Coturnix japonica: one gene and its partner. The protein of the gene in region 2 purifies or fractionates together with the protein of the main gene of each other region. This does not show direct contact. Links are inferred from orthologs where the notes say so. Each region holds a gene or a part of one and is shown on either strand. Other genes may lie near its edges.

The links.
Region 1: the proteins of PPP4R2 (region 2) and DHX38 purify together in Homo sapiens (affinity purification with mass spectrometry; 3 studies listed by BioGRID and IntAct, counting the BioPlex papers as one, with this or other methods). This does not show direct contact. The link is inferred for Coturnix japonica from reciprocal best matches to the Homo sapiens genes PPP4R2 and DHX38.

Annotation. Positions count from the first base shown.
Region 1 is NC_029526.1:17,616,933-17,622,345, forward strand, and holds part of DHX38 (pre-mRNA-splicing factor ATP-dependent RNA helicase PRP16), read right to left. Parts: coding exon 5,354-5,413; intron 5,227-5,353; coding exon 5,150-5,226; intron 4,930-5,149; coding exon 4,774-4,929; intron 3,869-4,773; coding exon 3,707-3,868; intron 3,622-3,706; coding exon 3,514-3,621; intron 2,637-3,513; coding exon 2,524-2,636; intron 2,417-2,523; coding exon 2,279-2,416; intron 2,032-2,278; coding exon 1,845-2,031; intron 1,757-1,844; coding exon 1,571-1,756; intron 1,128-1,570; coding exon 987-1,127; intron 806-986; coding exon 695-805; intron 294-694; coding exon 177-293; intron 1-176. UniProt on the Homo sapiens protein: Probable ATP-binding RNA helicase. Involved in pre-mRNA splicing as component of the spliceosome.
Region 2 is NC_029527.1:13,943,982-13,949,394, reverse strand, and holds part of PPP4R2 (serine/threonine-protein phosphatase 4 regulatory subunit 2), read right to left. Parts: intron 2,670-5,413; coding exon 2,576-2,669; intron 1,206-2,575; coding exon 1,168-1,205; intron 889-1,167; coding exon 814-888; intron 355-813; coding exon 211-354; intron 1-210. UniProt on the Homo sapiens protein: Regulatory subunit of serine/threonine-protein phosphatase 4 (PP4). May regulate the activity of PPP4C at centrosomal microtubule organizing centers.

The DNA.
Region 1 (5,413 bases), on a different chromosome or scaffold from region 2:
GCAAGACTGTAGAGCAGCCATACAGAACTTAGAAGGACATGGGTGACTTCTTGGGAAGTTAACAGGGGCACATGCTTTCCCTTGCTCTCTAAGTACCACACAAAAGACATCTCTGCACCTCTCCCTCATGCCCAATAGTCTTCCCTGTTCTAGTTTAACCTCTGCCACATCAGCACCTTCTGGAAGATCTTGGCCTGTAAGTCTGATGGCAGCTGAGAATAGATAGGCAGTACAGCAAGTGCAGGTGCCTTTTCCAGCTCCTCAAGGTGCTCCACAATTTGTTCTGAAGTGACCTAGACACAAAGAGGACTGTTAACATAAGATTAAGAAAGTACAAATCAGAATCACAGAATTGTAGGGGTTGGGAGGGACCTCAGGAGATCAAGTTCAACTCTTTTCCACAGGCTGAACAGACACAGGTTACTCAGCCTTTCCTCATACATGAAATGCCCCAGAGGTCCTTAATCATCTCTGTATCCCTTTGCTGGACTCCCTCTAGGAGATCCCTGTCTTATTTGACCTGGGGAGCCCAGAACTGGACACAGTATTCTAAATGTGGCCTCACCAGGTCAGAGTAGAGAGTGAGGGTCACCTCCTTTGACCTGCTGGCCAGCCTCTTTTTAATTCACCCCAGGATAACACTGGCCTTCTTGGCTACAAGGGCACGTTGTTGGTTCATGGCTTAACAACTCACCTCAATATCCTCCTGACCAGGCATGAAGACAAGGATGTCCCCAGGAGCACCAGACAAATGGACCTGCAGAGCTTGTTTCACTGCAGCCTCCACATAATCCTCTTGCGGTGTCTGAAAGACACAGTTCACATCAGACACTAGTAATCTCATCTGCCCCACTTTGTGTATAAGACTGCAACATAACAGTTATCCCTTGTATTTCCTCTCTGATCACTGCAGAGGGGGGCATACCCAAGTTACAACCCTTACAATCCCTTCACAACACAAACTCTCTCTACTACATTGACCATACCTTGCTGAAAAGAATATCAACAGGAAAGGTGCGCCCAGGAATGTGGAAAATGGGAACATTCCCAAAAAAAGAGGCAAATTTATCAGCATCCATGGTGGCAGAGGTGACAACGAGCTTCAGATCAGAGCGACGTGCTACCACCTAGAAAACAGATAAAAAGGACAATAAACAAGTGGTATTTGTATGTGGGTCCAGGCTTCTTCCATCACTACTGAAAAAAACAGCAAAGGGCTGAGCTTCCACTGTACTCTAGAAACACTAACCACTAATGCCATGGTACGAAAACACACACTGTCCAGTTAAAAAGACAGGCTGTCCCCAGCTGAGAAAGTCTTACACCTGCAAACACCTCTGTAACTAGAGCTACTTTATACCAGCAAGCCTTTGGCAGTACACTAAAGGGGAGATTTAAGAAACAAAGAACAAGATGTTTAAGCATCAAGTGCAGTCAGAGATGCAGCAGTCTCTGTTCATGATCTCTGCTCTGACCTGGGGGAGAAGCACTAACCCTGCCAATATTCTGCCCTAAGACCAGCTCATATGCCCCGTGTTGCTGTCCTCCTGTAGCCCAGGCTCACACACACCTCCCGAAGCAGGCCAAAGAGCACATCAGTATTGAGCGAGCGCTCGTGTGCCTCATCCATGATGATAGCACTGTAGTTGTCCAAGTCAGCCTCTCTCAGCGACTCACGAAGGAGGATCCCATCTGTCATGTATTTGATTATCGTGCTCTCTGACGTGCAGTCTTCAAAGCGGATGGCATAACCCACCTGGGGGGCAGAGATATCAGCAAGTCTTCAACAGCTCTGCATATGCACTGTCTAGAGGCTGCATGCCTACATATGCTGCCAGACTCACCTCCTCTCCCAGACGCACTCCCATCTCTTCACTGACCCGCTTGGCAACCGACATGGCTGCCACTCTGCGGGGCTGCGTGCAGCCAATCATGCCATAGTCTGTGTAGCCATCCTCATGGAGGTACTGCGTCAGCTGAGTTGTTTTACCGCTCCCTGTCTCCCCTACCACAATCACAATGCTGTTGTCCCTGAAGAAAGGGGAACAATATTTATTCATACACCACAAAGACAGCCTTCTTCATTCATAGCCCTGGCTGGCCACACAAAAGCAGTCCTGCTTTGGCAGAAGAGCTGCTATCAATCACACAAAGCAATGAGCTTTGTTTTCAAAGATTCCAAACAGAACACATATCTAGGTAAATTTCTCACTTGGGATCCTGAAATGTAAGCCAAAGCCCCAGGGTTACACTACAACTGGTTACCGAGCAGTCATACCTGAGGATGGAAAGCAGCTCCTGCTGCACAGCAAAGATGGGCAGATATTGTCTCTGCTCCAGAATCGACTTCTTCTTGGCAAACTCACTCCTTGCTTCACTTTTTTCTTTCATGTGTTCAGCAAACTTCTGCTCTGTCCTAAGGAAACATGAGAAGTCTTGAAGCTGTCTCCTCACACACTTTGCTTTGCCTGTAGCATAGGCATAACACCACCAGCTAGGCAGAAATCATCCAAAAGCTCCTACTTGTAATCTACTTTGCCATCTTCTGTCACCATCTCATCCTTCTCCTCTTCCTTCTTGATCCCCATAATGTCTCCCAGTTTTGTGCCTGCCAGCTCCCAGTGTTTATGCTGAGCCTGGAAGCACAAAGAGCAGTGTAAGTACCACAGCGGGGACTGAAAAATCATTCTCCTTCTGTCCTACTCCTAAGGCTAGAAAATCATGTTTGCCTCAATCCCCTGGTGCTTAAGGAGAGAACACACATTTCCTATATCAAGTCTCCATCCTCCAAGCAAACTGGGGCAGAACTTTTTTAGACACTGGTTTGGATAAAGACACAACAAGCACAGGATGATCAACAGCCCTCTATGAATACTGTTTCAGCTGCTGACCCTTCCATTATATTTACACTTAAACAAACAACAATCTGAACCAGAGCTAATCTTCCTACTATTAACAGGTATCGACAGGTACTCTCACCATTCTGTTTTCTCTCACGCTTCATAACAGGACTTCCCACTTTCCACTCACAGTACACCAGCTCAGATTCAGTTTACTATGAACACATCTATGCTTTCCTAACTGCTATCATGTAAGCTTTAGAGAAAGTCTTTCTATTAGGGAAACATCCACAAAGACTAATACACCACCTTCCTGTATATTCTTTCTCAAAAATCTTTTGCTGAGACATGGTGAGATCTGTCCTGCTACCACACTGAATGTTGACTGTGCCTGAGCTACACGGTATTCTTCCACTTGCTCTTCTCTCCCCATCCAAATGCCCTTTGGATCACACTCCCCAGCACAAATGCACAGTAATTAACATCCCAGGCAGTGCCTAAAGAAGTCACAACAGCTACTCGTGAGACAATGCAATGAACTGGACTAACAGGATATGTCAGATCACACAAATAAGGGGAACACATTACCATTACCATCAAAGCTTATATTCTACAAAGTCCAAACAAAAGCTGTGAGGCATTACATAACACGTACAGTGAGGTCTCAACATACCCTTTTACGCTCCTTTTGCTCCCTGTGCTTGCGCACCAACTGGCTGCCCTTTCGGGCTATGATGGCCAAGTCAGAAGTGGCATCCTTTACAGGGATGACTGGCTCTGGCTAAAGGAAAGAGGCATTGCTTCAACACAGAGAGCTCACATTTGTGAGGCTCCCCATCATTGGCACCGTTAGCCACAGCTTCTACCTGTTTTGTGAAGACTATCCTCCCATCTAGGAAAGGAGGCACCAGGTTATGCACCAGCAGATGCACTTTGGCTGAGTTATCCTCTTCAAAATCTTCATCCACTTCAATCCGATGAACCACACCACTGGTCAGCATGCGATTTGTCTCCCAACGCTCGTTATCCTGCAGGAAAGAACATATCAGAAGATTTTAACTATTACCTTCCATTATCCAAAATTCAAGAACCACACATTACCCAAACTAATTCCAAGGCAATAAACTAAGTAACACAGCTAGCTGCAAAGCACTACAACACCATGAGCAAATGAGGATGGCTTCATTTATTCTTAAAAGAAAAAGTTAAAAGCAGTTAACTACTGAAGGCAAATCTGTAACTGACTACAATACACACCACAGTTACAGTACACAGCTTTAAGCACTGAAATGATCCAATGCTGAATCTGTTGGTCTTCCTTCCCCAAAAGGGAAAGAGCTTGGAGACCCAAAGACAAAAATAAGTAAGCCTGGAATGTGGAGGAGTAACACTGAAGGTTACAGAGACCACAAATAAGCATTAGGAAAAGAACACTATCTGAAGACAAGTATGGTAAATGGAGACTAGCCACATAAAGTACGGAGTAAACAGAATTGTCTCAAAGGAAATGGAAGGCAAACAATCTACAACGCCCCTACCATACACTGAATACGTTAGAAAGCCTGGAGACAAACCTACTTTTATGCTGAGGGAAGCAGCTCTGAGAGTCCGCCAGAGGAACAGCAGACAGTCTTAACAATGTAATCTATGCCCCCTGCATAGCATAGCCCTTCAGATTCCTGCAGCTCTGAACACTCATCCACTGCAGTCACTCTAATGGTAAATTCCAACCCATGCAGGAGATGCAGGACTGCACTTTCCAAAGAAACATAACAATAGTTTCCTTTTGAGCCTCTCATTTGGTATAGGCCAGGACAAGGACAGCCTTTTTCCATCTGTCAGCCAAGCCCATCAACAAGTGGGTCTCTCCAGAGGCAACGAAACAAGCAGCCTCTGTACATTCAGAGCAGCCAGCTCCACATCTTGCCCCTACCTCGTTGATCTGCCGCCGCTGTGCAGAGATACGCTTCTGCTTTTGCTTGTGCAAGTGTTGCTCCCGCTTTTTCACATACTCGTCAGAGGAGTAGGCCAAGGGATTGTGAAACTCATCGTAGCCTTCATCCATCATATACCAGTCCCGGTCTGCTTGCTAGGAGGAGAGAGATGCAGCGCTGAGCTGTGTTGCTTGCCCAGCTGGGATAGACTCTAGTGCCAATCCCCACCTGGCTACTGGGAGAAAGCTGCCTACTACCAGTGGCCTGGTACAACACCAGTGACAGACTGAGATCCTGCTGGTGCCTTGGGGTAAGTGGCAGCAGCCAAGAACCTGGTGACTACTGAGCACCCTGCTCCCTACCCAGGCTTCTTACCCGTTGGTCGTCCTCCCACTGCTGACGCTCCTCTTCTGTTTCAAAGGCAATGCCCTCCTCCCCGTCCTCACGCCGCCCTAAAGAAAGTGAGATGGTCAGCACAGGCGACCAGTCCCACCAGGCTGTCGCATGCAGAGGAAATCCCACAAAACCTGTGCTAACGCTACACAGGGGCTCTGTCACCTCCCACTCTAGGCTCCTCACCTCTACCTCTGGACAGTCGTGGTGTGGACCCCAGGTGTTTCCGGTCATCAGCCCACTCAT
Region 2 (5,413 bases):
CTATACACATAAAAGATACGTTACTCTGAAAATCTGAGCCAGCAATTACTCAGCCCAAAAAGCAGTCAGCAACTATTTGAACCCTCCTGCAGATATTGCTCTAACTACACGTAACCTGGAAGGCCATTCCCTTTTAAAGTATTTTTAAAATGTATGTGGAAAAAAAGATGAGAATAATAGAAACTCAAAATGCATTAACTGCTCACAAACCTGTGTTTCTTATCTTCTGTCTGCTGCAAACTTGATTCTTTATGTTCTGTGCTGTCTGGCAAACCGTTTGTTGTCATAGGAGTTGACAAAGAAACCTTCGGTCGATTTACAGGTCTGGGAGTTCCAGGACCATTTACGTTTGATCTTTAAAAATAATGAAAATAAATCAATTATCAAATACAGAAAAGAAAAAATCCTCCAAAAAACAACCAATCCTTCTCTAAAAGGAATTTGCTCCAAACAGGCAGAAAGCAGCTATAAATCAGTTCCAAAAACATCTTGGGAGATACAATGGTGAGGTGGGCGCACTTCCCTATTTTACTCAATACAATTACTAAGCCTCCAATGGAAACAGTAACACAAAAAGTGTACAGTAAAAAAAATTCAAAGCAACAAGGTTACTAAAAAAAAAGTTCTAAGCAACAAGATGCATCAAATAAGATCATGGCATGTATCCCTACCATTCCTGTCCCATCCCTCTGTTGGTATTCGTGCCAAGACGCTGTCTATTTGGGATGAGAATAGGTAAAAACATAAGGGACCTGAGCTAGCTATTTCTGTGACAACCTTATTGAAAGTATTAACTCCCGGTGTTAAACTTACCTTTCAGAGTAACCTGGTGAATTTCCTGGGAACATTACACCATTCATCCGATTTAAACTACTCGAATTATTTTTCCTTAAACAAATACAATTAAGAAATAAGAATTAGAATGCTGTGAATAAAAAAATGTTTCCAAATTACTACATCGTATCTGTAAACACGTGCAGATCACTCTTACTACTGTTGAACTATTTATACTGAAAACCACACTCTGTGTACTTACTTTTGTATATTGGTACTATCAGGAAGAGAAGCACATTGCACAGGCACTCATTCTTCCACCCACTTTATATATACTTATACTATACTTATACAACATTGAAGTTCCAAGGAACTGAAGAACATCATACTTACTCCGAAGACGGATAAACACAGCTGACAACCATGACATTCTGTAATACACAAAAAATGTGATAAGTGCTCAGAAGTGGAAACTTCTGCTCTTGACAACAGCCCAGAACTTCAAGGGTTACTGCTCAAGTGCTTTCAAACAAGTTTTCTTTAGAGATATCAACAGATGGAAAAATTGAGAAAAACTGTCAGGCTCCTGCTCTGCAAGATCAGACCATAATTATATTAAAGGCCAGCATTTTTGTGAGTGGATTACTTGCGAAGATGACCAAACTAAACCTCAGGCCTAAGCCTTTCCAGCTTTTAATTGAAGTGTCCTTGTAAAGCAAAACAAAACGTTCTGCAGTGCTGGAAAACTCCTGAATGGCTGAAGAAACTACATTTGTACACATGGGCATCCAAGCACAAGAAGCTGATTGTGGCACAGTCTTACTTCCACTGTTACACTGTCCTGACCCCACATGAAAAGGGCAGAAATAACGAATTGTGTTTTGCTTATCTCTCTCTCTTCAATGGCACTGAAAACCAAATCCATTTTAACATCTCGGAATCCAGCCTAAAATTTAGGTACATTTGTCTTCTCGGAATCAACACTCAGAACAATTATATGCGGCCTTTTTTTTTTTCCCCTGCAGTGCCACCTAAATTAACCCAAACTAACCTTAATGAAAGACTGAACTTGAGGTACTGCTTCACAGAACTCATTTTGGCTGATCATTGCTTTGCAAAATCCATGTTACCATTTATTACTGACCATGTTCTTCTGAACTTGCAAGAATATCTGACTGTATCCTCTACAATAGTGAAAAAAGGCCCCTTTAAAAGGTAACTCTTGAAAAGTTAAGCTTTCTTTGACTGGATATTCTGAGTAGAAACTTAAAGCTAATTTTGCTATCAAGAAAATGCAATGTGGAACCACATTCTGAAAGTCCAGTATCTACTTCTGAAAGCTCCCAAATTAAAACTTCTATTTTATGAAGGTACACTGTGTGACATAAAAGGATTGAAAAACCCAGTACAAAAGACACTGTGGTGGAGAAAGGATTCCTTCTCCTCCATCTAATCTGAACCCAAATGTGAAAGGAAGTAACAGATAAAAAATAAATTATTCCAGCTGATTATTTGTTTTCAATTAGGACTCAATACGAAGAGTGGCATCATACCCTCCGGAAACTACAGTCTGAGTACTGTACACTGAGTAGGAAACACAACAGTTACAGCTTACACAAGTTGTTTCACAAGCTCTTTTGAAGTTAAAATATACAGAAGCAATTCACACAATTAAGAGTAGCTATTAGGTGTTCTATGACCGAGACATACTGAATCCATGAGGCCTTTGGTAGTAATTTGAAAGTCATTCAAATAGTAACTGTGATGGTTTAGCTGCGTGTTCTCTCAGAAAAATACATACCTTCTCCACACCTCTTAGAAATTTGTCAGTTCCTGTGTAATTCCTCCTAGGATCTGTTAGCAACTCACAGAGTCGCTGAATAGTGAAGGGGATGCTGCAATAAAATAGATTTATAACAATTTAATTTTATTTTAATGAGTATGACTGCAAGGAAGCAACAACATTATTGCTTCCCCCCCTTATGGAGAGGACTGAAGAAAAAATAGCACTGAAATTTGTTGTTCTTAGCAATATAGGATAAGTCAAAGCCTTATTTCCCTTAATTTCATATACTGAGATATTCTTTTATGCTCACCATGTCAGCTCTTAAGTAGCAACCTAAAGAAATCATCCCACAACTCAATCCATTAGAATGATGAAGAGGAAAATATTTAACTTCAGAAATCAGATAATCAACAGTAAAATAGTTGAAGACTGTATTTATTAGATAGAACAGAAAAGGAAGTGGTTCAAAACAAATTTGAGTCATACACACTACATCTAAATAAAAAATCTCAACTTGTAGTTTATTTCATGTTTTACAAAATACATTTACAAAAAGCATTAAGTATTGGAATTACTGGAATCATTAAGCTTTAATCATTACAAACACTGTATTTTGCCACAAAGTACACTTGTCTATCAAGGAACATCCCAATAAAAATAATTAGAGTAAGATATATGAATCAGTAATACCATGTTTGCACTTTGCTTTCTGACAAGGCTGCAGTTTCACCCTGCTTAGAGGAGAATCTGCCGCTTCAAGTTTGCAATGTGTACATATACCAACCAGTTACCTGAGATGTCACACATTCACTGCAAATTCATATACAATGTCACAATTTAAACAAATTTGACTTTTCACAAAATAACAAAATAGTTTGATTCAATAAAATAACGATCATTTATGCATTTTTACAGTTGACTGCTTCGAGTCAGACGTTAACACTTCAAAAATACATCTAAAAGAATATTTGGTACAGTGATACTTAAGAACCGGTTCTTAACTGAGAATGACTGATACACCAAATCCAGAGCATCACCAACAAGTGTGCATGCATGTACGTGTATGTATATAGCGTTATACTGGTATCTTTTTATATTCAACCTTTATTTTCTAAAGAACTGAGTACACACAGCATCTTAACCCTCATTTATTAATTAACGCAGCAACTCAAGCTTATTTCTTTAGCTAAAATGCCATGTTTTTAAAGATGCACAGATCTACCACTAGAGTTCAGTGAAAACATGACAGCACAGCTACCATCAATCATACTGCAGCACAACTCTCCAACTCAAGCAAGCAGGAGTGACCTCTAATTCCACTGTGCAGAACTGTCTGTGCATTATGTTACTGAGGAAGTTACAAACTTGAAAACATGCTGCAGTGTAACACCTTTAGCCCCAGCTCCAATGCAGCTATCTGAAAAATCAGACTGTCTACCACACTGACCCTGCTAATTAGTTAATAACTTCCATTTACCCTGAGATACACCATATCATCTTATCATTACTTCTAGGAATAGAGAGATGGTCAAGCTAACGCCCATCAATCAGCTGTGGACAGTTAGAATGCTGCCAACAAAGCACTGAATCAAGCACTGCTGCTGTTCAGTAGCTTCTGGTCACCCCGTGAGCATCCTGACACCAAGCTCTTCACAACGCTCAACCTCTGTGCAGTGCTCACCTTTAACCAACCTCCCACCTCCCCCACTCAGTCACAGAACCATGTCCTCCATCAGTTATCTGCTCCACATAGGTACAGCGATAATTGTACCTACTGTTTCTCATTAATGGCCATTTTGCCTTTGGGGTAAAAAGTCTTTAATTAGAGTCTTCCTGAAGTTTTAGAAGTTTAAACTGTCCATGCAAATTCAGGTTAGAGAAAAAATAGTATAAACAATTTTAAATGATCTTCTGTCAACCAAACGTACAAAACAACCTGGAGAATCTTGGCCTGGCTCCATTCTATTCAGCTGTATCTAATGTGGCACGTCAGAGTTTAAAGACGTGACACAACTTTTGCACGTCGATACAGTTCAGGTTACTGCAGAAGTAAGCAAATTCAAGAGAGCGTGGAGCCCAAAGCTTCACTCCTATTATACTGATAAGTTCAAGTAAAAGCTAAAACCAATTCTGTTCCTTCCTAAACTTTCCATAATAAGCTGAACTCTATTTACTGAGCAGTAGATGGCACCAAGTGTCACAGAATCGTATCCTCTGCATATAATTTGTTCAACATTTGTAAATCTTTGTAGTTTGCAAATCCCAACCAGAACTAGCTTCAGCACAGGTTAACTATGAATTATTTCATTTTAAAGTCCCTGTAATGTGAAAATACTTTAGTAGGAACTGAAATTGATATAGGTCTATACATGAACACTAACATGACAGTTGTGGGCAGTACGAGCAGCAATCTTTGCAAATGCTTAGAGAGATCATTGGTTCAGGGCACAAAGTGCAGGAGTGGTCCTGACCTGCCTTCTCAGGGTAACCACTATCTGCCTTAAAATCCTTCTAAATCCTGTCATTACAGCTAAAATACTCAGTCTTGTTCAAAATGAAGACTAAACTATTAGACACGCCATACATTTTACATGCAATACTGAGGAAAGCAGATGAACTGCCTAGAATGCAAAGTGCATTAATTGAATTTGCACTGTGATTATAAAGATTTATTTTTTTGATCCTATGAAGACTTTCTTGCCATCTAAGGTCTCCAATGACTGACTCGGAAACTTGCTTCAATAACAAAGGTAAAGAAAACAGCAAGTCTTTCAAGAACTTCCTACTCCAAAGGAACGGTGAAGCACAACACATGAATGTGGCTCAAGAAAAACATGACACATCCAATGTCAG